Anolis sagrei: one gene and its partners. The protein of the gene in region 1 interacts with the protein of each later gene in a pairwise test. Links are inferred from orthologs where the notes say so. Each region holds a gene or a part of one and is shown in the gene's direction. Other genes may lie near its edges.

Region 1 (6,919 bases):
GAATCCAAGAGTTGGAAGAGACCTCCTGGGCCATCCAGTCCAACCCCATTCTGCCAAGAAGCAGGAATATTGCATTCAAAGCACCCCTGACAGATGGCCATCCAGCCTCTGGTTATAAGCCTCCAAAGAAGGAGCCTCCACCACACTCCAGTGCAGAGAGTTCCACTGCTGAACGGCTCTCAGTCATGGGCCATCATCCAGCCCAACCCCATTCTGCCAAGAAGCAGGAATGTTGCATTCAAATCACCCCTGACAGATGGCCATCCAGCCTCTGTTTAGAAGCTTCCAAAGAAGGAGCCTCCACCACACTCCCTCCGGGGCAGAGAGTTCCACTGCTGAACGGCTCTCACAGTCATGGGCCATCCTCCAGTCCAACCCCATTCTGCCAAGAAGCAGGAATGTTGCATTCAAATCACCCCTGACAGATGGCCATCCAGCCTCTGTTTAAAAGCTTCCAAAGAAGGAGCCTCCACCACGTTCCGGGGCAGAGAGTTCCACTGCTGAACGGCTCTCACAGTCATGGGCCATCCTCCAGTCCAACCCCATTCTGCCAAGAAGCAGGAAAATTGCATTCAAATCACCCCTGACAGATGGCCATCCAGCCTCTGTTTCAAAACTTCCAAAGAAGGAGCCTCCACCACACTCCGGGGCAGAGAGTTCCACTGCTGAACGGCTCTCACAGTCATGGGCCATCCTCCAGTCCAACCCCATTCTGCCAAGAAGCAGGAATGTTGCATTCAAATCACCCCTGACAGATGGCCATCCAGCCTCTGTTTAGAAGCTTCCAAAGAAGGAGCCTCCACCACACTCCCTCCGGGGCAGAGAGTTCCACTGCTGAACGGCTCTCACAGTCATGGGCCATCCTCCAGTCCAACCCCATTCTGCCAAGAAGCAGGAATGTTGCATTCAAATCACCCCTGACAGATGGCCATCCAGCCTCTGTTTAAAAGCTTCCAAAGAAGGAGCCTCCACCACGTTCCGGGGCAGAGAGTTCCACTGCTGAACGGCTCTCACAGTCATGGGCCATCCTCCAGTCCAACCCCATTCTGCCAAGAAGCAGGAAAATTGCATTCAAATCACCCCTGACAGATGGCCATCCAGCCTCTGTTTCAAAACTTCCAAAGAAGGAGCCTCCACCACACTCCGGGGCAGAGAGTTCCACTGCTGAACGGCTCTCACAGTCATGGGCCATCCTCCAGTCCAACCCCATTCTGCCAAGAAGCAGGAATATTGCATTCAAATCACCCCTGACAGATGGCCGTCCAGCCTCTGTTTCAAAGCTTCCAAAGAAGGAGCCTCCACCACACTCCGGGGCAGAGAGTTCCACTGCTGAACGGCTCTCACAGTCATGGGCCATCATCCAGTCCAACCCCATTCTGCCAAGAAGCAGGAATATTGCATTCAAATCACCCCTGACAGATGCCCATCCAGCCTCTGTTTAAAAGCTTCCAAAGAAGGAGCCTCCACCACACTCCAGGGCAGAGAGTTCCACTGCTGAACGGCTGTCACAGTCAGGAAGTTCTTCCTCATGTTCAGATGGAATCTCCTCTCTTGTAGTTTGAAGGAATTGTTCCCTTGCGTCCTAGTCTCCAAGGAAGCAGAAAACAAGCTTGGTCCCTCCTCCTCCCTGTGGCTTCCTCTCACATATTTATACATGGCTATCATGCCTCCTCTCAGCCTTCTCGTCTTCAGGCTAAACATGCCCAACTCCTTTAGCCGCTCCTCATAGGGCTTGTTCTCCACACCCTTGATCATTTTAGTCGCTCTCCTCTGGACACATTCCAATCTAGTATGGCTACAGTAAATCCAATGATTTACTAATTTCTACATCTGTAAATTGGGAAAAAAATATAATACATACCATTAGAAAATGCGTTACTTGGTTAGTAGAGAAGTAAGTTGGTCTTGCACTGATGGAAGTTGCACCACATCAGCTGTCCAAATTTATAAATGGCCCTATTTATACAGTTATGCATTTTCTAAGAGGTCTATTCTTAAAATCCAAAATCTAACAATGACTATTTTTAATATTTATCCTTACCAAACTAACCTGAGCAACATCATGGAGTTTTCATAAAAAAACAGAATGGGAGCATTCATTACAAAAAAGCAAATACTGAGTATTTTTCTAAGACGTGATTGATTGACAGTACCGCAAATAGGGGAGGGGTGATTGATTGGAGCCAACGTGATTGATTGACAGTTCTGCAACAGGGGAGGGGTCTGTGTGCCCAGTGTGGTCCTGGTCCGTCATTGGTGTGGGTCGCAGTGGTCTGTGGGAGCCAACGCGATTGATTGACAGTATTGCAAATAGGTGAGCAGTGATTGATTGGAGCCAACCTGATTGATTGACATTACTGCAAATAGGGGAGGGGTCTGTGTGCCCAGTGTGGTCCTGGTCCATCATTGGTGGGGGTCGCAGTGGTGCAAGATACTCCACTTTGGCAGGAAAAACGAAATGCAAAGATACAGAATGGGGGACAATGCCTGGCTTGAGAGCAGTACGTGTGAAAATGATCTTGGAGTCCTCGTGGACAACAAGTTAAACATGAGCCAGGAATGTGATGTGGTGGCAAAAAAAGCCAATGGGATTTTGGCCTCCATCAATAGGAGCATAGTGTCTAGATCCAGGGAAGTCATGCTCCCCATGCTCTATTCCGCTTTGGTTAGACCACTTTACCTGGAATATTGTGTCCAGTTCTGGGCACCACAATTCAAGAGAGATATTGACCCTAAGCTGGAATGTGTCCAGAGGAGAGCGACTAAAATGATCCAGGGTCTGGAGAACAAGCCCTATGAGGAGCGGCTTAAGGAGCTGGGCATGTTTAGCCTGAAGAAGAGAAGGCTGAGAGGAGATATGATAGCCATGTATAAATATGTGAGAGGAAGCCACAGGGAGGAGGAGGGAGCAAGCTTGTTTTCTGCTTCCCTGGAGACTAGGACGCAAAGGAACAATGGCTTCAAACTACAAGAGAGAAGATTCCATCTGAACATGAGGAAGAACTTCCTGACTGTGAGAGCCGTTCAGCAGTGGAACTCTCTGCCCCGGAGGGAGTGTGGTGGAGGCTCCTTCTTTGGAAGCTTTTAAGCAGAGGCTGGATGGCCATCTGTCAGGGGTGATTTGAATGCAATATTCCTGCTTCTTGGCAGAATGGGGTTGGACTGGATGGCCCATGAGGTCTCTTCCAACTCTACACCATCCAAGCTGTTCAGCAGTGGAACTCTCTGCCCCGGAGTGTGGTGGAGGCTCCTTCTTTGGAAGCTTTTAAGCAGAGGCTGGATGGCCATCTGTCAGGGGTGATTTGAATGCAATATTCCTGCTTCTTGGCAGAATGGGGTTGGACTGGATGGCCCATGAGGTCTCTTCCAACTCTACACCATCCAAGCTGTTCAGCAGTGGAACTCTCTGCCCCGGAGTGTGGTGGAGGCTCCTTCTTTGGAAGCTTTGAAACAGAGGCTGGGTGGCCATCTGTCAGGGGTGATTTGAATGCAATATTCCTGCTTCTTGGCAGAATAGGGTTGGACTGGATGGCCCAGGAGGTCTCTTCCAACTCTTTGATTCTATGATTCTATGGTTCTATGGTCTGTGGGAGCCAACGTGATTGATTGACAGTACTGCAAATATTATTATTATTAGTATTGGAAGTAATAATAATTGGGGATAAATAAATAAATAGGGGAGGGGTCTTTTTTTCTTCTTTTTTTCCCCTCTTCCAGCTCTTTTTTTCCCTCTTATTATTTACTTATTAATAAAATAATAAATTCCTAGTAAAAAATTGTCAATAGTTTCTATTTATTTATTTTTTTCTGCTTGGACCAGGTTTTGCCTTTTGTAGAGGAGCCCTTATTGACCTATTGGCGTTTGCACTTTGCAGACGCTCCCTAGCCCTGTCTCCAGCCAGGAGAGGCAGGCGCGCGCAGGCGCAGTGGAGCCCTCCCTTGGCTCCAACGGGGAGGTCCCAGATTTAAAGGGGCCGCGTCACGGAAATGTCCCGCCGGGCCAAAGAGGAGTACCAGCGTTTCTACACGGTCACCGAGCCCCGCGGCCACCCCAAGGGACACACCGAGTACAAAGTCACCGCCAAGGTGGAGAGGGGGGCCTTGAAACGCACATAGACCCCAATTAAGGGTGCCTCTGAGCATGTGCAGAGACCCTTGCATTGCAATTAAAGGCTGGCTGAAAGCAATGAATAGGGAAATGCAAATTATTATTTTTGAAAGCTTATTATCATTATTATTATTGCCTCTGAGCATGTGCAGAGTGTCCCATTGCAGAAATGATAGAGCTAGGTAAAGGGAGTGATTATTATTATTATTATTATTATTATTATTATCATTGCCTCTGAGCATGTGCAAAGTGTCCCATTGCATCAATAATAGATCTGGGTAAAGGGAGTGAATATTATTGTTGTTGTTGTTGTTGCTGCCTCTGAGCATGTGCAGAGTGTCCCATTGCAGGAATGATACATCTAGGTAAAGGGAATGATTATTATTATTGTTGTTGTTGTTGTTATTATTGCCTCTGAGCATGTGCAGAGTGTCCCATTGCAGAAATGATAGATCTGGGTAGAGGGAGTGAATATTGTTGTTGTTGTTGCCTCTGAGCATGTGCAGAGTGTCTGCTTGCATAGATCTGAGTAAAGGGAATGAATAGGGAAAAGCACATTATTATTGTTGTTGTTGCTGTTGTTGACCCAAAGCTGTTCATTATTATTGTTGTTATTACTATTACTATTATTATTGTTGTTGTTATTATCATTGCCTCTGAGCATGTGCAGAGTGTCCCATTGCAGGAATGATAGATCTGGGGAAAGGGAGTGAGTATTGTTGTTGTTGTTGTTGCCTCTGAGCACGTGCAGAGTGTCTGCTTGCATAGATCTGGGTAAAGGGAATGAACAGGGAAAAGCACATTATTATTGTTGCTGTTGTTGTTGACCCAAAGCTGCTCATTATTATTGTGGTTATTACTATTACTATTGTTGTTGTTGTTGTTGCCTCTGAGCATGTGCAGAGTGTCTGATTGCATAGATCTGGGTAAAGGGAATGAATAGGGAAAAGCACATTATTCTTGTTGTTGTTGCTGTTGTTGACCCAAAGCTGCTCATTATTATTGTGGTTATTACTATTACTATTATTATTGTTGTTGTTGTTGTTGCCTCTGAGCATGTGCAGAGTGTCTGATTGCATAGATCTGTGTAAAGGGAATGAATAGGGAAAAGCACATTATTATTGTTGTTGCTGTTGTTGTTGACCCAAAGCTGCTCATTATTATTGTGGTTATTACTATTGTTGTTGTTGTTGTTGTTGTTGCCTCTGAGTATGTGCAGAGTGTCTGATTGCATAGATCTGTGTAAAGGGAATGAATAGGGAAAAGCACATTATTATTATTGTTGTTGTTGTTGTTGACCGAAAGCTGCTCATTATTATTGTGGTTATTACTATTACTGTTGTTGTTGTTGCCTCTGAGCATGTGCAGAGTGTCTGATTGCATAGATCTGGGTAAAGGGAATGAATAGGGAAAAGCACATTATTATTGTTGTTGTTGCTGTTGTTGTTGACCCATAGCTGGTCATTATTATTGTGGTTATTACTATTACTATTGTTGTTGTTGCCTCTGAGCATGTGCAGAGTGTCGGCTTGCATAGATCTGGGTAAAGGGAATGAATAGGGAAAAGCACATTATTATTATTGTTGTTGCTGTTGTTGTTGACCCAAAGCTGCTCATTATTATTGTGGTTATTACTATTACTATTATTGTTGTTATTATTATTGCCTCTGAGCATGTGCAGAGTGTCCCATTGCAGGAATGATAGATCTGGGGAAAGGGAGTGAGTATTGTTGTTGTTGTTGTTGCCTCTGAGCACGTGCAGAGTGTCGGATTGCATAGATCTGGGTAAAGGGAATGAATAGGGAAAAGCACATTATTATTATTGTTGTTGCTGTTGTTGTTGACCCATAGCTGCTCATTATTATTGTGGTTATTACTATTACTGTTGTTGTTGTTGTTGCCTCTGAGCATGTGCAGAGTGTCTGCTTGCATCGATCTGGGTAAAGGGAATGAATAGGGAAAAGCACATTATTATTGTTGTTGTTGTTGTTGACCCAAAGCTGCTCATTATTATTGTGGTTATTACTATTACTGTTATTGTTGTTGTTGTTGTTGCCTCTGAGCATGTGCAGAGTGTCTGATTGCATAGATCTGGGTAAAGGGAATGAATAGGGAAAAGCACATTATTATTGTTGCTGTTGTTGTTGACCCAAAGCTGCTCATTATTATTGTGGTTATTACTATTACTATTGTTGTTGTTGTTGTTGTTGTTGCCTCTGAGCATGTGCAGAGTGTCTGATTGCATAAAGGATAGATATGGGTCCTATCAGATGGCTTAAGGGAATTATTAATATCAAGGGAACGACTAGTAATAGTATCTATTAGTAATAATATCGATACCAAAGGGGCTTCTCGTTATCATTATTATTGCCTCTGAGCATGTGCAGAGTCTCAGCTGTATGGGATTAAATACGCAGCAATGGGTGTGATACAGTTTGCATAAATTTTGGCGCTGTGTAGAGTGAAATAAATTGGAATAATACTAATACTACTAATAATAATTATTATTATTATTTATTTATTTAAAAATTAAATTTAAAAAGTTAAATTAATTAAATTAACAAAAATAAAATATGGGTTTGATCCAGTTTGTGCAAAACAAGGAAAGCATAAATTTTGGCGCTGTATAGAGCGAAATAAATTGGAATAAATCAAATAATAATAATTATTATAATAATAGTAATAATAATTATTATTATTATTAAATAAATTGGAATAAATCAAATAATAATAATAATAATAGTAATAATAATAATAATAATAATTAAATAAATTGGAATAAATCAAATAATAATAATAATAGTAATAATA
Region 2 (7,076 bases), on another chromosome or scaffold:
TTAATTATTGTATTGTTTGTAAGTGTCTTTTGCACTACAAATAAGATATGTGCAGTGTGCATAGGAATTCATTCATGTTTTCTTCAAATTATAATCTGGCCCTCCAACAGTTTGCGGGACTGTGACCTGGCCCTCTGTTTAAAACGTTTGAGGACCCCTGCTGTAGATCTTAGAAAACTATTTCTTGATTTAAGTCATTGAGAGAGGTCAACCCTCCTGTTCAAGGAGCTCCACTGGCTGCCGTTTGTTTTCCAGATCAGACTTCCCAAGGTACAGGCGCAACTTTGGAAGCTTTTAAACAGAGGCTGGATGGCCATCTGTCAGGGGTGATTTGAATGCAATATTCCTGCTTCTTGGCAGGGAGTTGGACTGGATGGCCCATGAGGTCTCTTCCAACTCTTTGATTCTATGATTCTAACTGTGAACCTAAACCTAACTGATGCGGGCACGATTGGTGGGGACGAGGGAGAGGGCTTCTTGGTGGTGGCCCCTCGACTCTGGAATTCACTCCCTAAGGACATCAGATCAAGGGTCTGGAGAACAAGCCCTATGAGGAGCGGCTTAAGGAGCTGGGCATGTTTAGCTGAATAAGAGAAGGCTGAGAGGAGATATGATAGCAAAGATACAAAATAGGGGGACGCCTGGCTCGAGAGCAGTACGTGTGAAAAAGATCTCGGAGTCCTCATGGACAACAAGTTAAACATGAGCCAAGAATGTGATGTGGCGGCAAAAAAAGCCAATGGGATTTTGGCCTGCATCAATAGGAGCATAGTGTCTGGATCTAAGGAAGTAATGCTACCCCTCTATTCTGCTTTGGTGAGACCACACCTGGAATAATGTGTCCTATTCTGGGCACCACAATTGAAGAGAGACATTGACAAGCTGGAATGTGTCCAGAGGAGGGCGACTAAAATGAGCAAGGGTCTGGAGAACAAGCCCTTTGAGGAGCGGCTTAAGGAGCTGGGCATGTTTAGCCTGAAGAAGAGAAGGCTGAGAGGAGATATGATAGCCATGTATAAATATGTGAGAGGAAGCCACAGGGAGGAGGGAGCAAGCTTGTTTTCTGCTTCCCTGGAGACTAGGACGCGGAACAATGGCTTCAAACTACAAGAAAGGAGATTCCTTCTGAACATGGTTACTGAACACTGGAATGGAACAATGGATGACGAATCTGGAACATGTTTTTGATGACGAGACGACAGTGAATGGGTATTGTAGTAACTGTTTATTAATTGTGTAATGTGTTAGGTTGTCAACTGTTTCTATACTGTAGCACTGAATTTTTGCTGTTCGTATTTGTTGTGAACCGCTGTGAGTCACCTTCAGGCTGAGAACAGCGGTATATAAGTAAGGTAAATAAATAAACATGAGGAAGAACTTCCTGACTGTGAGAGCCGTTCAGCAGTGGAACTCTCTGCCCCGGAGTGTGGTGGAGGCTCCTTCTTTATTTTATTTTAATAATATGTCGCTCCGGTGAGCAATCTGGCTGCCACTCGCTGGACCAGTTGAAGTTTCCAAACAATCTTCAAGGGCAACCCCACGTAGAGTGTGTTGCAGTAGTCTATTCAGGATGTAGCAAGAGCATGGACCACTGTGGCCAGATCAGACTTCCCAAGGTACGGGCGCAACTTTGGAAGCTTTTAAACAGAGGCTGAATGGCCATCTGTCAGGGGTGATTTGAATGCAATATTCCTGCTTCTTGGCAGGGGGTTGGACTGGATGGCCCATGAGGTCTCTTCCAACTCTTTGATTCTATGATTCTATGAGCGGCTTGTCTCTCTCCTGAGGAATCTGTACAAGGACCAAGTCGCAACAGTAAGAACTGACCACGGAACAACAGACTGGCTCAAGACTGGGAAAGGCGTACGGCAAGGCTGCATACTCTCACCCAACCTTTTTAACTTGTATGCAGAACACATCATGCGATGTGCGGGGCTGGATGAATGCAAAGCTGGGGTGAAAGTTGCTGGAAGAAACATTAACAACCTCAGATATGCAGATGACACCACTCTGATGGCCGAAAGCGAGGAGGAGCCGAGGAGCCTTCTAATCAAGGTGAAAGAAGAAAGCGCAAAAGCCGGCTTGCAGCTAAACGTCAAAAAAACCAAGATTATGGCAACAAGAATGATTGACAACTGGAAAATAGAGGGAGAAATCGTGGAGGCCGTGATAGACTTTGTATTTCTAGGTGCAAAGATGACTGCAGATGCAGACTGTGGCCAGGAAATCAGAAGACGCTTACTTCTTGGGAGGAGAGCAATGTCCAGTCTCGATAAAATAGTGAAGAGTAGAGACATCAGACTGGCAACAAAGATCCGCCTAGTCAAAGCCATGGTATTCCCTGTAGTAACCTACGGATGTGAGAGCTGGACCTTAGGGAAGGCTGAGCAAAGGAAGAGAGATGCTTTTGAGCTGTGGTGTTGGAGGAAAGTTCTGAGAGTGCCTTGGACTGCGAGAAGATCCAACCAGTCCATCCTCCAGGAAATAAAGCCCGACTGCTCACTGGAGGGAAGGATACTAGAGACAAAGTTGAAGTACTTTGGCCACATCATGAGGAGACAGCAAAGCCTAGAGAAGACAATTATGCTGGGGAAAGTGGAAGGAAAAAGGAAGAGGGGCCGACCAATGGCAAGATGGATGGATGGCATCCTTGAAGTGACTGGACTGACCTTGAAGGAGCTGGGGGTGGTGACGGCCGACAGGGAGCTCTGGCGTGGGCTGGTCCATGAGGTCACGAAGAGTCGGAGACGACTGAACGAATGAACAACAACAGTGTCTAGATCCAGGGAAGTCATGCTACCCCTCTATTCTGCTCTGGTCAGACCACACCTGGAATATTGTGTCCAATTCTGGGCACCACAATTGAAGAGAGACATTGACAAGCTGGAATGTGTCCAGAGGAGGGCGACTAAAATGATCAAGGGTCTGGAGAACAAGCCCTATGAGGAGCGGCTTAAGGAGCTGGGCATGTTTAGCCTGAAGAAGAGAAGGTTGAGAGGAGATATGATAGCCATGTATAAATATGTGAGAGCAAGCCACAGGGAGGAGGGAGCAAGCTTGTTTTCTGCTTCCTTGGAGACTAGGGCGCGGAACAATGGCTTCAAACTACAAGAGAGGAGATTCCATCAGAACACGAGGAAGAACTTCCTGACTGTGAGAGCCGTTCAGCAGTGGAACTCTCTGCCCTGGAGTGTGGTGGAGGCTCCTTCTTTGGAAGCTTTTAAACAGAGGCTGGATGGCCATCTGTCAGGGGTGATTTGAATGCAATATTCCTGCTTCTTGGCAGAATGGGGTTGGACTGGATGGCCCATGAGGTCTCTTCCAACTCTTTGATTCTATGATTGTAATTGTGAACCTAAACCTAACTGATGTGGGCACGAGTGGTGGGGACGAGGGAGAGGGCTTCTTTGTGGTGGCCCCTCGACTTTGGAATGCACTCCCTAAGGACATCAGATCAAGGGTCTGGAGAACAAGCCCTATGAGGAGCGGCTTAAGGAGCTGGGCATGTTTATGAGAAGGCTGAGAGGAGATATGATAGCCATGTATAAATATGTGAGAGCAAGCCACAGGGAGGAGGGAGCAAGCTTGTTTTCTGCTACCTTGGAGACTAGGATGCGGAACAATGGCTTCAAACTACAAGAGAGGAGATTCCACCTGAACATGAGGAAGAACTTCCTGACTGTGAGAGCCGTTCAGCAGTGGAACTCTCTGCCCTGGAGTGTGGTGGAGGCTCCTTCTTTGGAAGCTTTTAAACAGAGGCTGGATGGCCATCTGTCAGGGGTGATTTGAATGCAATATTCCTGCTTCTTGGCAGGGGGATGGCCCATGAGGTCTCTTCCAACTCTTTGATTCTATGAGCGGCTTAGAGTTTAGGGAAGTGTTGTCAAAGGCTTTCATGGCCAGAATCCCTGGGTTGCTGTGTTTTCTGGGCTGTCTGGCCATGTTCCAGATGCAACCCAGTTTAGAGAAGTATTTTCCCCTGGCAGGTGTGGCCCCGCCCCTTCTCTCCCATTGGTTGCTCGGTGAAGGGGCTCTGCCTTCTGCCCTGGAAGCCCCGCCCACCTGTAAGAGCTGACCGGCTTAGAGATCCCCGCTGGTCTCCGTCTGGGCTTTGTTCTGCGATGGACCCGCTGCAGCGTCGCTTCCAGGCCTTTCTGGACCAGCCAGGCTGGCTGGGCGACCTCCTGGGCGGGCTGGAGGCCAGGACCGGCGTTCAGCGCTATTACCTGGCCACAGGTGAGCCCCTAGCTGCCCTTGGGAAGTTTGCGCATGTGCACAAGCGCCCTTGGCCCACCTTTGGCTGCTCTCCTCAGCCTGAGGAGTGGGCAGGCAAAGAGAAGCGCCTGGTTATGTTAGTATTATTATTATTATTATTATTATTATTGTATTATTATTGGTATATATTATGTTATTTGTACTATGATATATTATGACATATATTATAATAATACAAATAAAATAACAATACAATAATATAAGATATAATAAAATAATATGTCATAATATATCATAATAAAATGTATAATAATATATCATAATAAAATAATACAATTATAATTTATAATATATTATAATCATACAAATAAAATAACAATACAATATGATATAATGAAATAATATGTCATAATATATCATAATAATCATGTATAATATCATAATAAAATAGTAATACAATTACTATAATCTATAATATATTATAATACAAATAAAATAACAATACAATAATATATAATAAAATATGTCATAATATATCATAATAAAATGTATAATAATAATGTATAATAATATATCATAATAAAATAATACAATTACTAGAATCTGTAATATATTATAATAATACAAATAAAATAACAATACAATAACATAAGATATAATGAAATAATATGTCATAATATATCATAATAAAATGTATAATAATATATCATAATAAAATAATACAATTACTATAATCTATAATATATTAGAATAATACAAATAAAATAACAATACAATATGATATAATGAAATAATATGTCATAATATATCATAATAAAATGTATAATGATATATCATAATAAAATAATACAATTACTAGAATCTATAATATATTATAATAATACAAATAAAATAACAATACAATATGATATAATGAAATAATATGTCATAATATATCATAATAAAATGTATAATGATATATCATAATAAAATAATACAATTACTAGAATCTATAATATATTATAATAATACAAATAAAATAACAATACAATAATATAAGATAGAATGAAATAATATGTCATAATATATCATAATAAAATGTATAATAATATATCATAATAAAATAATACAATTACTAGAATCTATAATATATTATAATAATACAAATAAAATAACAATACAATAGTATAAGATATAATAAAATAATATAGATTATAGTAATTGTATTATTTTATTATTATATATTATTATACATTATTATTATACATTTTATTATAATCTATAATATATTATAATAATACAAATAAAATAACAATACAATAATATAAGATATAATAAAATAATATTATAAATTATAGTAATTGTATTGTTACGTTATTTTATTATTATATATTATTATACATTATTATTATACATTTTATTATGATATATTATTAGATTATATTGTTATTGTATTGTTATTTTTTGTATTATAATATGGCCCCCGGTGGCGCAGTGGGTTAAAGCACTGAGCTGCTGAGCTTGTTGACCAAAAAGGTCGCAGGTTCGATTCCAGGGAGTGGCGTGAGCTTCCGCTGTCAGCCCTAGCTTCTGCCAACGTAGCAGTTCGAAAACATTCAAATGTGAGTAGATCAATAGGTACCGTTCCGGCGGGAAGGTAACGGCGCTCCATGTGGTCATGCTGGCCACATGACCTTGGAGGTGTCAATGGATAACGCTGGCTCTTCGGCTTAGAAATGGAGATGAGCACCACACCCCAGAGTCAGACATGACTGGACTTAATGTCAGGGGACTACCTTTACCTATATTACATATTATATTTTTGTATTTTACATTGTATTAAATAATATTGAAGATTTGTATTATTATGTTATTTTATTGTATTATTGTTGTATTTTGTTTTTTTCCTTTATTATTATATTTGTTTTTTATATTATTATATATTGTTGTTATTATTACTTGGGGTCCATTGCTCTTTCTATATTACCCCTCCCCATTCTTTTTGCACTGTAATTCCCATCAACCTCCATCCTGCCTGATGATCTTTCCAGTCCAACGGAAAGAGCAGCCTTTCCCAGCAGGAGGAAATTATTATTATTGTTGTTGTTGTTGTTATTCTAATATCTAATGTTATTTTAATGGGTTTTAAAAATAATTATTCAATGTATTTCCTGTGCATATCTTCCAATATTGCCGCGCACTGCACACTGCACTTGCCCTATAATCCTTACATATCACCTGTCACATCAGTACTTTTAATTCTGTACCCTTTACTCTGGCCCGGCCCAGTTTTATTGTGTTTTGGTGTATTGTTTATTGCTTGTTGTTTTAATATTGCTTTAACTGTTTTTAATTTGCTTTAGGTGTTGTATTGTTATGTTGTGTATTGAGGCCTTGGCCTTTGTAAGCCGCATCGAGTCCTTCGGGAGATGCTAGCGGGGTACAAATAAAGATAATAATAATAATAATAATAATAATAATAATAATATTTTAATATGCTGTCGCTAAAAATGGGGTTCATCCATGAAACGTAAAATTTATGTAGCGTAACTACATGCAATAAGTGAGTTTCTTTGTGGGGTATTATTATTATTGTATTATATTTTATATTATATATATAATATTTATATTATACAATTATATATAATATATTAAATATGTTATTATAAAGTAGATATCATATAATCATTAATATAGCATATTAATATTATAATATTATTCTTATTGGTATATATTATATTATTTTGTGTTATAATGTATTATGATTTATTGTTATTAATTTAAATGTATTAAATATTATAATATGATATATTATATCATATTGTTATATTTATATTTTTAATTATATTTTTATTAATGGCATATATTATATTATTTCTTGT
Region 3 (7,066 bases), on another chromosome or scaffold:
TTATTTATTTATTATAAATCGTGTCAGGAGCAAACCAAACAGTTGTATTGCATTTTTTAACAAACAAACAAACAAAACACAAAGTTTGCAAGCTTGGTAGTTGATTAAATGTCCATCTGGCCACTTGGAGTGCCTCTGGTGTTGCCTCAAGAAGGTCCTCCATTGTGCATGTAGCAGGGCTCAGGTTGCATTGCAGCAGGTGGTCTGTGGTTTGCTCTTCTCCACACTCGCATGTCGTGGATTCCACTTTATAGCCCCATTTCTTGAGGTTGGCTCTGCATCTCGTGGTGCCAGAGCGCAGTCTGTTCAGCGCCTTCCAAGTCGCCCAGTCCTCTGTGTGCCCAGGGGGGAGTCTCTCATTTGGTATCAGTCATTGATTGAGGTTCTGGGTTTGAGCCTGCCACTTTTGGACTCTCGCTTGCTGCGGTGTTCCAGCGAGTGTCTCTGTAGAGCTTAGAAAACTATTTCTTGATTTAAGTTGTTGACGTGCTGGCTGATACCCAAACAGGGGATAAAGGATCTGATTAAAAATATTCTTTCTAGGAATCTATGGTCCTTCACTGAGATTTCATGGTCATTTTCCAGAAGATGTTGACCATAGATGAAGCCATGTTGGAAGGCCTAGACACATTCCCTCAGGTTAAAAAACAACCCAACGATTTCTTCATTCCAGGTTTTTCACATTCATGGGAGTCCTGTGGCCCTAACCCTATGAATGTGGAGGCCTGCCTGTATTGATGCTGAGTACTTTGATCTTCCTTTGATCAGTATTGCTATAATGCACAGCACAACATTAGTATATATACTGTAATAGTATTAGTAATATTACATGTAATATACACTGCACCACTTCTTGCAGCAGCTGTGGATGTGATCTATTGTTTCATCTGCTTCCTTGCAAGGTCTACACTTGGGATCTGTCGTGACTTTTCAATTCTGGCTTTGATGGCATTGGTTCTAATGGCTTGTTCTTGGGCTGCCAGAATCAGGCCCTCCGTCTCCTTTTTCAAAGTCCCATTTGTGAGCCACATCCATGTTTTTTTCTTTGTCAATTTGGCTCTCAAATTTTGCCAGAAACTGTCCAGTCTTTTGCTGGTTTTCTCTTCTGCTATGGATTGTGTTTTTACGGTATTCCCTCTTTGTCTTTTGCACTTGAAGCAGTTTACTACGATTGACTTCCCTCAATGTTGGTTCTTGATTGCCTTTCACATAATCTGCCAGTGCATGTTTCTCTTCTTCTACCATTTTTGCTTCACTTGCAGAAGCCCTCTCTCTGCCTCCTGATTTTCTGGGCAGGTAAAGTCTGTTGACATCACTACACGGGTGTAATGAGTAGTGAATTGTCATCAGTTTTATTGTTTTTCTATCCAGATCATTCAGCTCTGCTTGTGTCCAGTTCACAATCCCACCAGTGTATGTAATGACGGGGGTGGCCCAGGTGTTGATAGCCTTGATATTGTTTTATATTGCTTTCAATTGTGTTGTTATTTGTTTTATCTTATGTTTTAATTGGTGAAAGTGTTTTACATGTGTTTTTTAATTGTAATCTTGGGCGTGCCCCTTGTAAGCCACCCCGAGTTCCCCAGGGGAGATGGTTGGTGGGGTATAAAAATAAAGTTATTATAATTGATTGTATTTCCGCCATTTAATTTACTCTTCAAAACCTTTCTGACTCTTTGGATATATTCTTTGCTGACCACATTTTTCACTTGCCCATGCCTGATATTGTCCAACTGTAGTATGCCCAGTGTGCTGTCGCACGCTGGGCCTGTGCATAGGACTGTAGACAGGACATATATTCTGTGTGCCCAACAGGACGCCGGGGCTGCCTCAGATTAAAGGCCCTTGGATTTCCTTAAAACAGAGTCTTTAGATTGTTTAAAGGTTCAACAGTGTTCTTTATTGATGAAAACAAACAATACTTTAAAGCTTTCTTAACAGTCTATTGGCTCTCTCAATCTTGTCCACAGGGAACAGGCACTATCTTCATAACTGTAACTAATGGGGAAATTCTTAACTTCTAATCTGGGCAGTCTGTCTTTGCCTCTGATGGCGTGGAGCCCCTACACCCGGTACCAACTGCATCTGGCTTCCGCGAGTGACCCTTACCAAGCAGAGCTTTGTAGACTTCCAGGGAAAAAGGAGTTCAGGTTTCAGTGATGGCTGACTGAAGTCCCTCAGCAAAGGAGCTGTAAGGCTGTATATCTTCTGGCCAAGCTGTGGGGCTGTATAACCCCAGCCAAGCCATAGAAGACAAAGCTTTCTACAGGAGCTCTTGGTATTATGTCCTGCATGGAAAGCTTCTCTGTGTGGACTGAACCCAAACTGGCTCCTATTCCCTCCAAAACCCAAAGGGGGCAGGACCAGGGAACCGAACTATAATTGACAGGTGGCTTGTCCTATGATTGCAGCCAAAAGAAGCCACCTATCTGCAGAGTCCCTGAAACTTAGGACTACAACAAACATTAAATGCAAAGCAAACAAAATTGGAGCTCCTGGTGCAGTTGTACCTGCACACCCAGATATTATTATTACTATTATTGGCTATCCCTTCCAACTGGCCGTATTACGTCCCTCTACGTCCCACCCTGGAGTCTAAGATCATCTGGGGAGGCCCTGCTCTCGACCCTGCCTCTATCACAAGTGAGATTGGCGGGGACGAGGAGCAGGGCCTTCTTGGTGGTGGCCCCCCACCTTTGGAATTCACTCCCCGGGGAAATTAGATCTGCAATATCGCTCCTTTCCTTTAGGAAAAACTGAACACATGGATTTGGGACCAGGCATTCGGATAATCGGGCAGATAAAAGGACTTGACAATGATTAGGAAATGATTAATGGAATAGAACTATGGAACTCTGAAAGACGAAGCGCTGAGCATGAGAATAGTTTTTTTTATAGTTTTTATATATGACATGTTATGTACTGATTGTTTTGATTGTTTTTAACTGCAATAATTGTTTTAGCCATGGTTTTGTATATTATGTGTAATTTGTACGGCATCAAATGGTGCCTTCTTTGTAAGCTGCCCTGAGTCCCCCCTCGGGGGTTGAGAAGGGTGGGGTAAAAGTAACAGAAATAAATAAAATAAATAGGTTCTTGTGGGTTTTTTCGGGCTATAGGGCCATGTTCTAGAGGCATTTCTCCTGACGTTTCGCCTGCATCTATGGCAAGCATCCTCAGGTCTGTTGGAAATAGGACAATGGGTTTATATATCTGTGGAATGGCTGGGGTGGGGCAAGGAGCTCTTCCCTGCTAGAGCTAGGTGTGAATGTTTCAGCTGATCACCTTCATTAGCATTTGAAGGCCTGCCTGAGCCTGGGAAAACCTTTTGTTGAGAGGTGTTAAGATGTGCCTGGTTGTTTCCTCTCTGCTGTTTTGCTTTGTAATTTTGGAGTTTTTTAATACTTGTAGCCAGATTTTGTTCATTTTCATGGTCTCCTCCTTTCTGTTGAAATTGTCCACATGCTTGTGGATTTCAATGGCTTCTCTGTGTAGCCTGACATGGTGGTTGTTGGTGTGGTCCAGCATTTCTGTGTTCTCAAATAATATGCTGTGTCCAGGCTGGTTCATCAGGTGCTCTGCTATGGCTGACTTCTCTGGTTGAAGTAGTTTGCAGTGCCTTTCATGTTCCTTGATGCGTGTCTGGGCAACTCTGTGTTTGGTGGTCCCTATGTAGACTTGTCCACAGCTGCATGGTATACAGTAGACTCCTGCAGAAGTGAGAGGATCCCTCTTGTCCTTTGCTGAAGGTAGCATTTGTTGGATTTTCTTGGTGGGTCTGTAGATTGTTTGTATGTAGATTGTTTTGTTTGTAGATTGTTTGTAATAAAATAAATAAATATTATTATTATTGTCTATCTCTTCCAACTGGTGGTTCGGAATTGTGGGAGCTGAAGTCCAAAACACCTGGAAGGCCCAAGTGTGCCCATGCCTGGGCTGCATCCTCTTCTCCATCCCCACCTCGAATGGTCAATTCCCTCTTAGCCCCGCCCCCTTTGTGTCCCCTCCTGGATGCTCATTGGGCCTTTGGGTTGCCTGTCTATCTTCTTGGGTGGGAGAAGAAGAAGAGAAGGAGGAGGACAGACAGGAGCCGCTCGCTTCAACTTCTCTTCCTCCTCCTCCTCGTCCTCCTCGTTAGTTGCAGGCTCCCTCCTCCCCGTCCAAGCCCAGCCTCCTCCTCCTCTCCTTCCTCCTCCTCTTCTGTGACTCATCCGGGCGTGGAGGTGGTGGCTGGCTGGCGGGCTGCGTCTCCCCCTCTTCTCTCTCTCTCTCTCTCTCTCTCCTGAAGCAGCAGCAGCAGCCGCCCTCCTTGTTCATTCCTCCTCCTCCTCCTTTTCTACTTTTACTCCTCCTCCTTCTCCTTCTTTTGGGGCGAAAGAGTGAGAGAGTGTGCAGTTTTCCCTTCCTTCCTTCCTTCCTCCCTTTCTCCCAGCTCGGCTCCTCTTGAGTTCTTCTCTTTGCAAGCCAGGATGGACGACCCCGACCAGTCGCCTTTGGTCTCCTCTTCGTCTTCTTCTCTCCCTCCTCCTCCTCCTTCCACAGCCTCCCAGCCCCAGCCCCCCCTTTTCCAGTACCAGTTCGTGAAGGACCCCGAGTACGAAGAGGAGGAGGAGGAGGAAGAAGAGGAGGAAGATCTGGATGATGAGCGGCTGGAAGTGCGGGAGGTGAAGAAGCCCCTGTCCGCCCCGGCCCCGACCATCCCTTTCAGCCCCCCTCCGGCTCCTTCCGGGCCCCCTCCGCCCTTGCTGGACTTGGGGGGCTTCGGGGAGCCGCCCCCGCCCGCCAAGGCCCCCTCCTCCTCCCCGCCCCCGCCGCCCCCTCCGCAGCCGGCTTGGGGCCCCAGCACCACCACCCCCTCCTCCTCCTCCTCTTTCCCTCCTTCCTCCTTCTCTTCTTCTCCTTCTGCCCCCGAGGAGGAGGAGCAGCCCCCGCCACCCCCGCCGCCCCGAGGGGAGCCCAAGCCCCCCGCCATCCCGCCCCGCAACGCCCCCCAGCTGCCCCCCAAGAAGGAAGAGCAAAGCCCCGCCGCCGCCAAGGGAGACCCCAAGGGCTCAGCCTCGCCCGGTGAGTCGGGGAAGGAGAGTGCGCATGCGCCTGCAGAGCTGGGGGGGGAGATGCTTTGGCTTTTTGGGGGGAGGGGGCAGTGGGGTGTCTGTCTATCGAGGGCCAGGGGTTTTTTTGAAGGGGGAAGACTGCTTCAGGGAAACTTCCTAAGGGGGGGGGGGACCATGGGGGTGTGGTGGTCTGCCTTTAGTGGAACTTGGGGGGGGGGTACCATGAGGGTCCTTTGTAGTGAACCTCTCTCTTGTATTTTTTTTTGGGGGGGGGGAGTTGACCAGAGGGGTGTGGTGGGCCATGGGGGTGAATGCTTTTTGGGTGGAGAACATTGTAGTGAACCTTCTGTGTGTATATTTTTGTTGGAGGGGGAGTTGACATCGGGGGCCTTGTAGTGAACCTCTCTGTATGGGTATTTTTTGGGGGGAGGAATTGACCTGAGGGGTGTGGTGGACTGTAGTGGAACATGGGGTGAATGTGTTTTTTTTGGGGGGGGGGCTATAAGAGGCCTTTGTAGTCAACTTCTCTATGTGTATATTTGGGGGGGGGGGTTGACCTGAGGGGCGTGGGTGGGCAGCCTTTGTAGTGGAACTTGGGGTGAATGAGGGGAGTGAGCATAAGAAGCCAATGTAGTGAACCTCTCTCTGTGTGTATTTGGGGGGGGGGGGGGAGTTAACCTGAAGGGTGTAGTAGAGCTTGTGGTGAATGTTTTTTTTTGGGGGGGGGGAGACTATAAGAGGCCTTTGTAAAGAACCTCTCTCTCTGTGCATTTTGGGGGGGGGTTGACCTGAGGGGCGTGGTGGGCTTCCTTTGTAGTAGAGTTCGGGGTGAATGTTTGAGGGGAGAGGCCATAAGAGGCCTTTGTAGTTAACCTCTCTCTTTGCGTTTTTTTGGGGGGGGGAGAGTTGAAGTTTGGGGTGAATATTTTTTGGGGGAGACTGTAAGAGGCCTTTGTAGTCTACCTATCTCTGTGTATATTCCTTTTTGGGGGGGGGGAGGGTTGACCTGAGGGGCGTGGTGGGTAGCCTTTGTGGTGGGCCTTGGGGTGCCTCCATGTGTGCTTTTTTTTGGGGGGGGGGAAGCTAGGCTTCCCTCCCCAAACTCCTGTCAGGCCAAGGCTTGAAAGTGGGGAGACTATTGGGGGTGGGTACATTGGTAGTGGACCTCTGGGTATACATTTGTGGTGGTGAGAGAAACCTTGGCCTTGACAAGGAGAGCATGATGAAGGGGAGCCATTGTAAGGAGTGTGTTTTTGGGGGGGGGGGAGGGTGAGACAAGGAAGGCAGAAATGAGTGAGGGGAGTGGTCGTATTGGAATTAATGGATTCTGGTTCCCAATAACTCATGGAGGGGCCTGATAGGAAAGGCCTAGAAGACCTAGTAGGAGGGAGGGGTCAAGGGGAAAATGGACATTGAGGGCGTGTATGGGAAGAACTGGGGTGGCCTCACCACAGGGTAATGTGGGGAGGGTCTGCTTTTGTGTGGGAGAACTTTTGGAGGGGGTGGATTCAGTGGCATGTCAACTCTCCATGACTCATGGAGTAGGCCTTCCAGACGCTGTGAAGAGAGGGCTTTTTTTTGCGGGAGGAAATCGAGAAAGGAGGTTGTTCATGTGAGGAATTGGGTGGTGGGGTGGTGGTGGAGTGGTCTCACTATGGGTGAATGTGAGGAGGAGGTGTGGGTGTGCTTTGTTGAAGAGGGGAGTGTGTCTGGAAGGCGTTGGGTGATGGAGGGAGGAATAGCATGGCATGAAAGGGTGAGTGGGGGCTTTGGGAAGTGTAGCTACAAAGATTGAGTAAGCAGCATGTGCAAGCATGCTGAGGAACAGGTGGAAGTATGTGGTATGTGTGTGTATGTACACACACACACAAGCCGTGCCCACCACGTGTTGCTGTGGCCAACCTTCCCTCCCTCTTTCTCTCCTTCCCCTTTTTACTTTCCTTCTCTCCTTCCTTCCTTCTCTTCCTCTTTCCTTCCTTTCCCCCTTTTTCTTTCCCTTCCTCTTTCCCCCC
Region 4 (7,779 bases), on another chromosome or scaffold:
TCCTGCTTAGTTCAAATACTCCTTAGCTGTCACATCCCGGCCAACCCAATACGATTATGCTTGCCGATTAGACCTGGGCAGCATTGTGAAACCACGTTTTAGTGTTCTCCTTTTGAGGCCACATGCAGAACATAATTGGACAGAAGGGACATCATAATAGGAAATCATCGACATATACAAGTTAAATTTGCTAATGCCTGCCTCCATGGTTGAGGCACATTAAATTCAGAGCCACCTTTCTGAGCATGCAGGCAGACATTCAAATAACTTTCTCAACCGGAGCTTTCTCAAACTGGTTCCATTTTGAACTAGAGGTATATATGTCCTGCCTTTCTGAAAAATAAACAAACTTTTAAAAAAGCAAAAAAAACAAGCACCTTGTGAAGGAGCCAGTATATTACTGCTACTAATTGTAAAGGCTTGGCCACTAATTTGCAACAATGCCACCAAATTGTAAGGAGGTATAGGTATAACTGTTACATATATGTAGAAAGTTGGAAAAAGGAGTCACCTCTTTGTGATGGCTTTTTAAATTGATGACACAACCAATAGCTTGTAATGTTGCTTTGGTCTTTCTCTAATATGTAGCATGACTTGACTTGGAAAAGAGTCAGGCTTGACTTCAAAAGGAAACGAACAAGTTTGTTGAGGTACAGAAATGTGATGGTTTCAAAGTTTCTCTTCTCTTAGAGGTACAGATCTTTAATGGTCACGTTCATAACAGTCCTTAAATAACTCTTAGAAGGTCTAATTATTCTAACAAACAGGTCTTAAACTTAGTTCTTTTAGAAAGAGATCTTTCTTTAACAGGTTATTTCAGGCACACGCTTATCCTTTCTTTATGATGGTTCTGTTACAATAAAGATGCTTATTAGGGTTTCCCTTCTTTTCCACAACAGTTACTTTTAATATAAATCATAGAATCATAGAGTTGGAAGAGACCTCATGGGCCATCCAGTCCAACCCCCTGCCAAGAAGCAGGAATATTGCATTCAAAGCACCCCTGACAGATGGCCATCCAGCCTCTGTTTAAAAGCTTCCAAAGAAGGAGCCTCCACCACACTCCAGGGCAGAGAGTTCCACTGCTGAACAGCTCTCACAGTCAAGAAGTTCTTCCTAATATTCAGGTGGAATCTCCTTTCTTGTAGTTTGAAGCCATTCCGTGTCCTAGTTTCCAGGGAAGCAGAAAACAAGCTTGCTCCCTCCTCCCTGTGACTTCCTCTCACATATTTATACATGGCTATGATGTCTCCTCTCAGCCTTCTCTTCTTCAGGCTAAACATGCCCAGCTCTTTAAGCCGCTCTTCATAGGGCTTGTTCTCCAGACCCTTGATCATTTTAGTCGCCCTCCTCTGAACATATTCCAGTTTGTCAATATCTCTCTTCAATTGTGGTGCCCAGAATTGGACACAATATTCCAGGTGTGGTCTAACCAAGGCAGAATAGAGGGGTAGCATTACTTCCCTAGATCTAGACACTATGCTCCTATTGATGCAGGCCAAAATCCCATTGGCTTTTTTTGCCGCCACATGACATTGTTGGCTCATGTTTAACTTGCTGCTCTTGAGCCAGGCGTCCCCCATTCTGTATGTTTGCATTTTGTTTTTCCTGCCAAAGTGGAGTATCTTACATTTGTCACTGTTAAACTTAATTTTGTTAGTTTTGGCCCATCTCTAATCTGTCAAGATCATTTTGAATCCTGCTCCTGTCCTCTGGAGTATTGGCTATCCCTCCCAATTTGGTGTCGTCTGCAAACTTGATGATCCTGCCTTCTAACCCTTCATCTAAGTCATTAATAAAGATGTTGAACAGGACCGGGCCCAGGACGGAACCCTGCGGCACTCCACTCGTCACTTCTTTCCAAGATGAAGAGGAAGCATCAGCCTTTCCCTGTAGTTCTATGACTACAGAATTCTCTCTGGTTCTTTACACAGGAAAGAACCAACCAGTTCTGCAGTTCACCAACCACAGACTGACCGCTTCCAAAATGGCTGTTCTGCCAAGTGGCAGTTGGCTCTGCCCCTATCTCCATAGCAACTCAGCTCAAAGCAAGCTAAGCTGGTTACCATCCCCCAATATTATGCAATACTATATACTTACCATTACTAACCCTTATCTATGTATATAATAAAAGTCAAAGTTTGTATGCGGAGGACAAAAGTGTGGCGGTGTGGCGGTGTATGTGCCAGCATTCTGATTGGCCACCCTGAAAGTTCCAAGATTCTGATTGGCTGCCGCTGTGGTGCTATTTGCATATGATCTCTGATTGGTCAGCTTTACAGGAGCCCCTGGTGGAGAAAAGGTTTCATGACAGAAACGGAGACATGAGAGAAGGAAATTTGCATATGGTCTCAGATTGGCCAGCCTCAATTCCAAGATTCCGAGATGACAAAGAGAGGAAAGGAAAGGCCAGGGGCTCTGTCAGAAAATTACCAATACAGACCAAACTTGGCACACAGAGCCCCCATGACCCACTCTACATCCTGCTGCAGTTTTGGAGGAGGACAGACGATGGATGATGCGACTTCCAGTACCTTCACTCACATTCTGAGACCTCTGCAAATCTCATGCAATGACTGATCAAGAGCATACTTGGCACATAGACCTCTCATGACCCACTTTACGTCCTGGTGTCATTTGGAAAAAAAACGGAGGTGGTTGATGGGACTTGCAGTAACCTCACTCACTTTCTGAGACCACTGAGACCCTCGCCAATGACTAATCAAGACCAAACTTGGCACACGGAGCCCCAATGACCCGCTCTACACCCTGGTGCAGTTTGGAGGACAGACCATGGATGATGGGACTTCAAGTACCTCTACTCCCTTCCCAAGATTGCTGCAACCCTCATCTAATGACCGTTTAAGACCAAACTTGGCACACACAGCCCCCATGACCCACCCTACATCCCAGTGCTGTTTGAAGGATGGACGATGGAGGATGGGACTTGCAGTACGTTCACTCACTTCCTGAAACCATAGCAAAACTCATTCAAAAACGAATAAAGACCAAACTTGGAACAGAGAGCCCCCATGGCCAAGTCAACATTCTGGTGAGGTTTGGGGGAGTACAGACTATGGATGATGGGACTTCAAGTACCTCCACTCACTTCCCAAGACCTCTGCAACACTCATCTAATGACCGATCAAGACCAAACTTGGCACACAAAAACCCCATTACCCACTCTCCATCCTGGAGCAGTTTGGAGGAGGATGGACCACAGATAATGGGACTCACAGTACCTTCACTAACTTCCTGAGACAACTGCGAGTCATATAAATAACTGATAAAGACCAAACTTGATACACAATTCCTTTCTTAAATAACCCGGGCAGCGCTGGGTCCCCAAGCTAGTCTATAATAATACATAACTGCAAGAAAAAATGTACACTTCATCACACTTGGGTATCTCAAAAGTCTCACGCCTGCTTAATATCAACATTTTGTTTTGGCCAATGACCAAAATACAAACGACAACAAAAAGGTGTTGTGTTCATCCTGTGAAGTGACCAACCCCCTTCTTTTCTTCCTTATTTCTTCCCTTCATTTCCTTTTTTTCCTGTCCTTCCTTTTTTGCTTCTTCCCTTTCCTTTTTCTTTCTTCCCTTCCTTCCCTTTTTCCTTCCTTCCGTTTTTCTTTCCCTTCTTCCTTTCCTTCCTTTTTTCTTACTTACCTTCATTCCCTTTTTCCTTCTTACCTTCCTGCCCCTTTTCCTTCCTTCCTTCTTTCTTTCTTTCTTTCTTTCCTTCCTTTTTATTTCTTTACCTTCCTTCCCTTTTTCTTCCTTCTTTCCTTCAAGGCTTGCATTTGGTGTTTGCCATTTCCTAGCTTTTCCCCAATTCAAAGTGGCTCAGAAACCTTTTGTTTCTATGTAGTGGTGCCTGTGGTTGATAAGAAACAAAATGCTTCTTTTCCAATTTTGTAAAGCAGACCTTTACAAAATGTCCAGTCTCGATAAAATAGTGAAGAGTAGAGACATCAGACTGGCAACAAAGATCCGCCTAGTCAAAGCCATGGTATTCCCTGTAGTCACCTACGGATGTGAGAGCTGGACCTTAGGGAAGGCTGAGCGAAGGAAGATTGATGCTTTTGAGCTGTGGTGTTGGAGGAAAGTGCTGAGAGTGCCTTGGACTGCGAGAAGATCCAACCAGTCCATCCTCCAGGAAATAAAGCCCGACTGCTCATTGGAGGGAAGGATACTAGAGACAAAGTTGAAGTACTTTGGCCACATCATGAGACAGGAAAGCCTAGAGAAGACAATTATGCTGGGGAAAGTGGAAGGCAAAAGGAAAAGGGGCCGACCAAGGGCAAGATGGATGGATGGCATCCTTGAAGTGACTGGACTGACCTTGAGGGAGCTGGGGGTGGTAACGGCCGACAGGGAGCTCTGGCGTGGGCTGGTCCACGAGGTCACGAAGAGTCGGAGACGACTGAACGAATGAACAACAACAAAGCAGACCTGGGCCAACTTGAGCTCTCTTTCCAGTGTTTTGGACGTCAACTCCCACAATTCTTCACAGCCTCGGCCCAACCTTAAAGGGCTGGGGAGCAAAAGGAAGAGGCCTGAGGATGTGAGGAATTGTGGGAGCTGAAGTCCACAACATCTGGAGAGAGGGCCCAAGCTGGCCTAGGCTTACACTACAGGGAGCCGCGCCTTCGTTTTGAAAATGTAAATAGGTAGGCGATTGGCCCGGAGGCTAACAAGACGACGCTGATTGGCTGGTGGGGTTTGGTTCCCCTGACCAATGGGAGGCGAGGTGAGAGAAAAGACTTGCCTTTCTTGGGGGCGGTGCCGGGCGGTTGACGGTTGGAGCTGTCGAAGGCGGACAAAATGGCGGAAGGCGACAACAGGAGCACCAACCAGCTGGTGGGTGAACGGTCTATTCTTCTCTCTCTCTTCTAGGCAAGGGGGAGGCGGCGTGGCCTCAGTCGTGGTCCCCATCCAGGGCGGGTTTGGCGAGACTTAAGGGCCCAGGCTGAGGCCTCGTTTCCGGGCTCAGGCCCAGAGCTTGCTTGGCCTTGAATAATGGCCCTTTGCTTTCAGGGTCTCTCTTTCAGTAGAATTGGTGAATGCAGGGATCATGGCACGGAGTAGATATTCTGGGGTGCGCGGTTAGGTCCATGTCGAATAGTAGAGTAGACGCCCAGTTAAGAGACCCCAGGGGCCATCCAGTCCAACCCCCTTCATGCAGGAAAAACACCATCAAAGCACCCCCAACAGATGGCCGGCCACCCAGCCTTTTTAGTAATAATAATTATAATAATAATAGCAGAAACCCCAAGGACTATCCAGTCCAACCCCATTCTGCCCTGCAGGAAAAGCACCCTCACAACACCCCCGACAGATGGTAATCCAGCTTTTCTAATAATACTAATAATACATTATATTATATAATACTAATACCTGTAGTATAATATACTGGTCGCGTATTATATATGTTGTGGTATAATAATATAGTACAATATAATGATATAATAATAATTGTATATTATATATTACATGTAATATTACTAATAGTATTGCAGTATAGTGGTATAGTAGAATATAGTAATATGTAATACTAATATTGTGCTAGGCTAATAGTATAGTATATTGTATAGACATATAATATTGATAATAATATTGTAATATAGTAATGCTAATGTATTAAATAGAATTACTACTGTTAATATTTAATCACATATACTGTTTTATTGTTGTATGTTTGTGTATTTTAAGTTGTAATGTTCCTTTATTGTGAGCCGCTCTGAGTGTCCGTATGGAGAGATAAAGCAGGATATAAATAAATAGATAGATAGATAAATGGAGCAACCCCAGAGACCATCCAATCCAACTCTCTTCTGCCTTCATACAGGAAACGCCCAATCAAAGTACCCCCAAGAGATGGCCATCCAGCCTTTGCAATAATAATAATAATAATAATAATAATAATAATAATAATAAGAGCTATCCCAGGGACCACCCAGTCCAACTGCCTTCTGCCATGCAGGAAAAACACAATCAAAGTACCCCCAACAGATGGCCATCCAGCCTTTGTAATAATCATCATCATCATAGCAGAAACCTCAGAGATCATCCAGTCCAACTAACTTCTGCCTTCATGCAGGAAAATCACCATTAAAGTACTCGCAACAGATGGCCACCCAGCCCTTCTAGTAATAATAATAATAATAATAATAATAATAATAATAATAATAATAATAGGAGCAACCCCAGGGGCCACCCAGTCCAACCCCCTTCCACTCCACCTTCATGCAGGAACAGCACAATCAAATCACCCCTGACAAATGGTCATCCGGCATCTTTTTAAATCTTCCAAGGAAGAAGTTTCCACCAGATTCCGAGGCAGAGAGTTCCACTGCTGAACAGCTCTCACAGTGAGAAGTTCTTCCTCATGTTCATTGAAATCTCCTTTCCTGTCATTTGAGCCCATTGCTCCATTGAGTCCTAGTCTCCAGGGCAGCAGAAAACAAACCTGCTCCCTCTTCCTTTTTACATCCTTTCACATATTTATACAGTGGCTTAACATAAAAGCATTTGTACACGATTTCAAATATACAAATATGTAAACATTAAAACAGGATTAAATATAAACAGTATACAGGGTTAGTCAAAATGCATAGGCCAATAAGCTATTCAATTGAATGGCTTATTGGCCTATGCATTTTGACTAACCCTGTATATTTAAAATCCCTAGTTAAAAACCATTGAAACATATCCAGAGTTAAAAACCACTATACCATACGCTCTGTATTGACTTGATACTAGTTTTAAAACATAGTGATTAGAACCAATTAGAAAATGCCATTTATAACCCAGGAACAAAAATTGTGTTACAGAGTGTTATTACTACTGCATTGATTTATAGCCCTCTTTATTCTCTTAATGAGACCCAAAGCGGCTGGTTATGAGAGGAGTCCGGGTGGCCTCATGGTTTGAGCATTGGACCAGGGCTCTGGAGGCTCAGCCATGGAAACCAACTGGGCAAGTCACCCTCTTAGCCACCAATAACCTTCTTTGGTGGCTGAGAGGATGAACAAGTGTTATTGGCCTGGCCCTTCTGAACAGATCTTGCTAAATTGTGACCTTAGGATCGCTGTAAGTGGAGAAGGACTCAGAGGCACACCAGAACATTGTGTCCTGTGAAAGGTTGTGTCCAATAACACATGTTCATCTTTAAGGCATAAAACTTTTGATTTTGATGGCCCAGAGTGAAGGTATGCCAGGTGGAGGTGCATTTCCAATTGCCTTTTGAAACTCCTAGGATGCTTTAAAATCAGGGGAGAGGTTAATGCATGAAGTGAGAGAAGGGAGAAAAAGATGTTTTGTCAAGTAGGTTTTCTGATAAATGAGCATAGGGTAAGTAGGTTAGCCTCCTCTCCCCTTCTACATACAGGTCGTACCCGAGTTACAAACACCCAACTTACAAATGACCCACAGTTAAGAATGGGACTGAGACAACAGGAAGTGAGGGGAATCTAGTCATGGAAGAGTTATTATCATGGGGAAACAAGATCCCCACTGAAGGTTTATCTGGAATTGTTATTTCCACAACTAGACACATTTTTCAAAACCCAGTTATCATAGGGACAGAAAAGGAGGCGAAATCCTCTAAAACAGTGCCACAAGCAGCAACAGAACACCACAGGAGTGTTCGCCCTTCCCTATGTGATCCAAAACACACTCTCTCTCACACACACACATATATATGTATGTATATGGACTTATACTTTAAAATATATCTGTTCCAGCATGCATACAAATTCAGCTTCAGTACA

The links.
Region 2: the proteins of SNX15 (region 1) and REEP6 interact in binary tests that used the Homo sapiens proteins (3 or more experiments, as listed by UniProt). The two-hybrid records come from large-scale screens. The link is inferred for Anolis sagrei from reciprocal best matches to the Homo sapiens genes SNX15 and REEP6.
Region 3: the proteins of SNX15 (region 1) and RTN4 interact in binary tests that used the Homo sapiens proteins (3 or more experiments, as listed by UniProt). The two-hybrid records come from large-scale screens. The link is inferred for Anolis sagrei from reciprocal best matches to the Homo sapiens genes SNX15 and RTN4.
Region 4: the proteins of SNX15 (region 1) and ARL6IP1 interact in binary tests that used the Homo sapiens proteins (3 or more experiments, as listed by UniProt). The two-hybrid records come from large-scale screens. The link is inferred for Anolis sagrei from reciprocal best matches to the Homo sapiens genes SNX15 and ARL6IP1.

Annotation. Positions count from the first base shown.
Region 1 is NC_090032.1:21,597,187-21,604,105, reverse strand, and holds the start of SNX15 (sorting nexin-15), read left to right. Parts: upstream 1-3,919; 5' UTR 3,920-3,987; coding exon 3,988-4,086; intron 4,087-6,919. UniProt on the Homo sapiens protein: May be involved in several stages of intracellular trafficking. Overexpression of SNX15 disrupts the normal trafficking of proteins from the plasma membrane to recycling endosomes or the TGN.
Region 2 is NC_090034.1:62,189,608-62,196,683, forward strand, and holds the start of REEP6 (receptor expression-enhancing protein 6), read left to right. Parts: upstream 1-4,051; 5' UTR 4,052-4,121; coding exon 4,122-4,236; intron 4,237-7,076. UniProt on the Homo sapiens protein: Required for correct function and survival of retinal photoreceptors. Required for retinal development.
Region 3 is NC_090021.1:16,435,108-16,442,173, forward strand, and holds the start of RTN4 (reticulon-4), read left to right. Parts: upstream 1-4,062; 5' UTR 4,063-4,469; coding exon 4,470-5,064; intron 5,065-7,066. UniProt on the Homo sapiens protein: Required to induce the formation and stabilization of endoplasmic reticulum (ER) tubules. They regulate membrane morphogenesis in the ER by promoting tubular ER production.
Region 4 is NC_090034.1:25,324,775-25,332,553, reverse strand, and holds the start of ARL6IP1 (ADP-ribosylation factor-like protein 6-interacting protein 1), read left to right. Parts: upstream 1-4,760; 5' UTR 4,761-4,831; coding exon 4,832-4,867; intron 4,868-7,779. UniProt on the Homo sapiens protein: Positively regulates SLC1A1/EAAC1-mediated glutamate transport by increasing its affinity for glutamate in a PKC activity-dependent manner.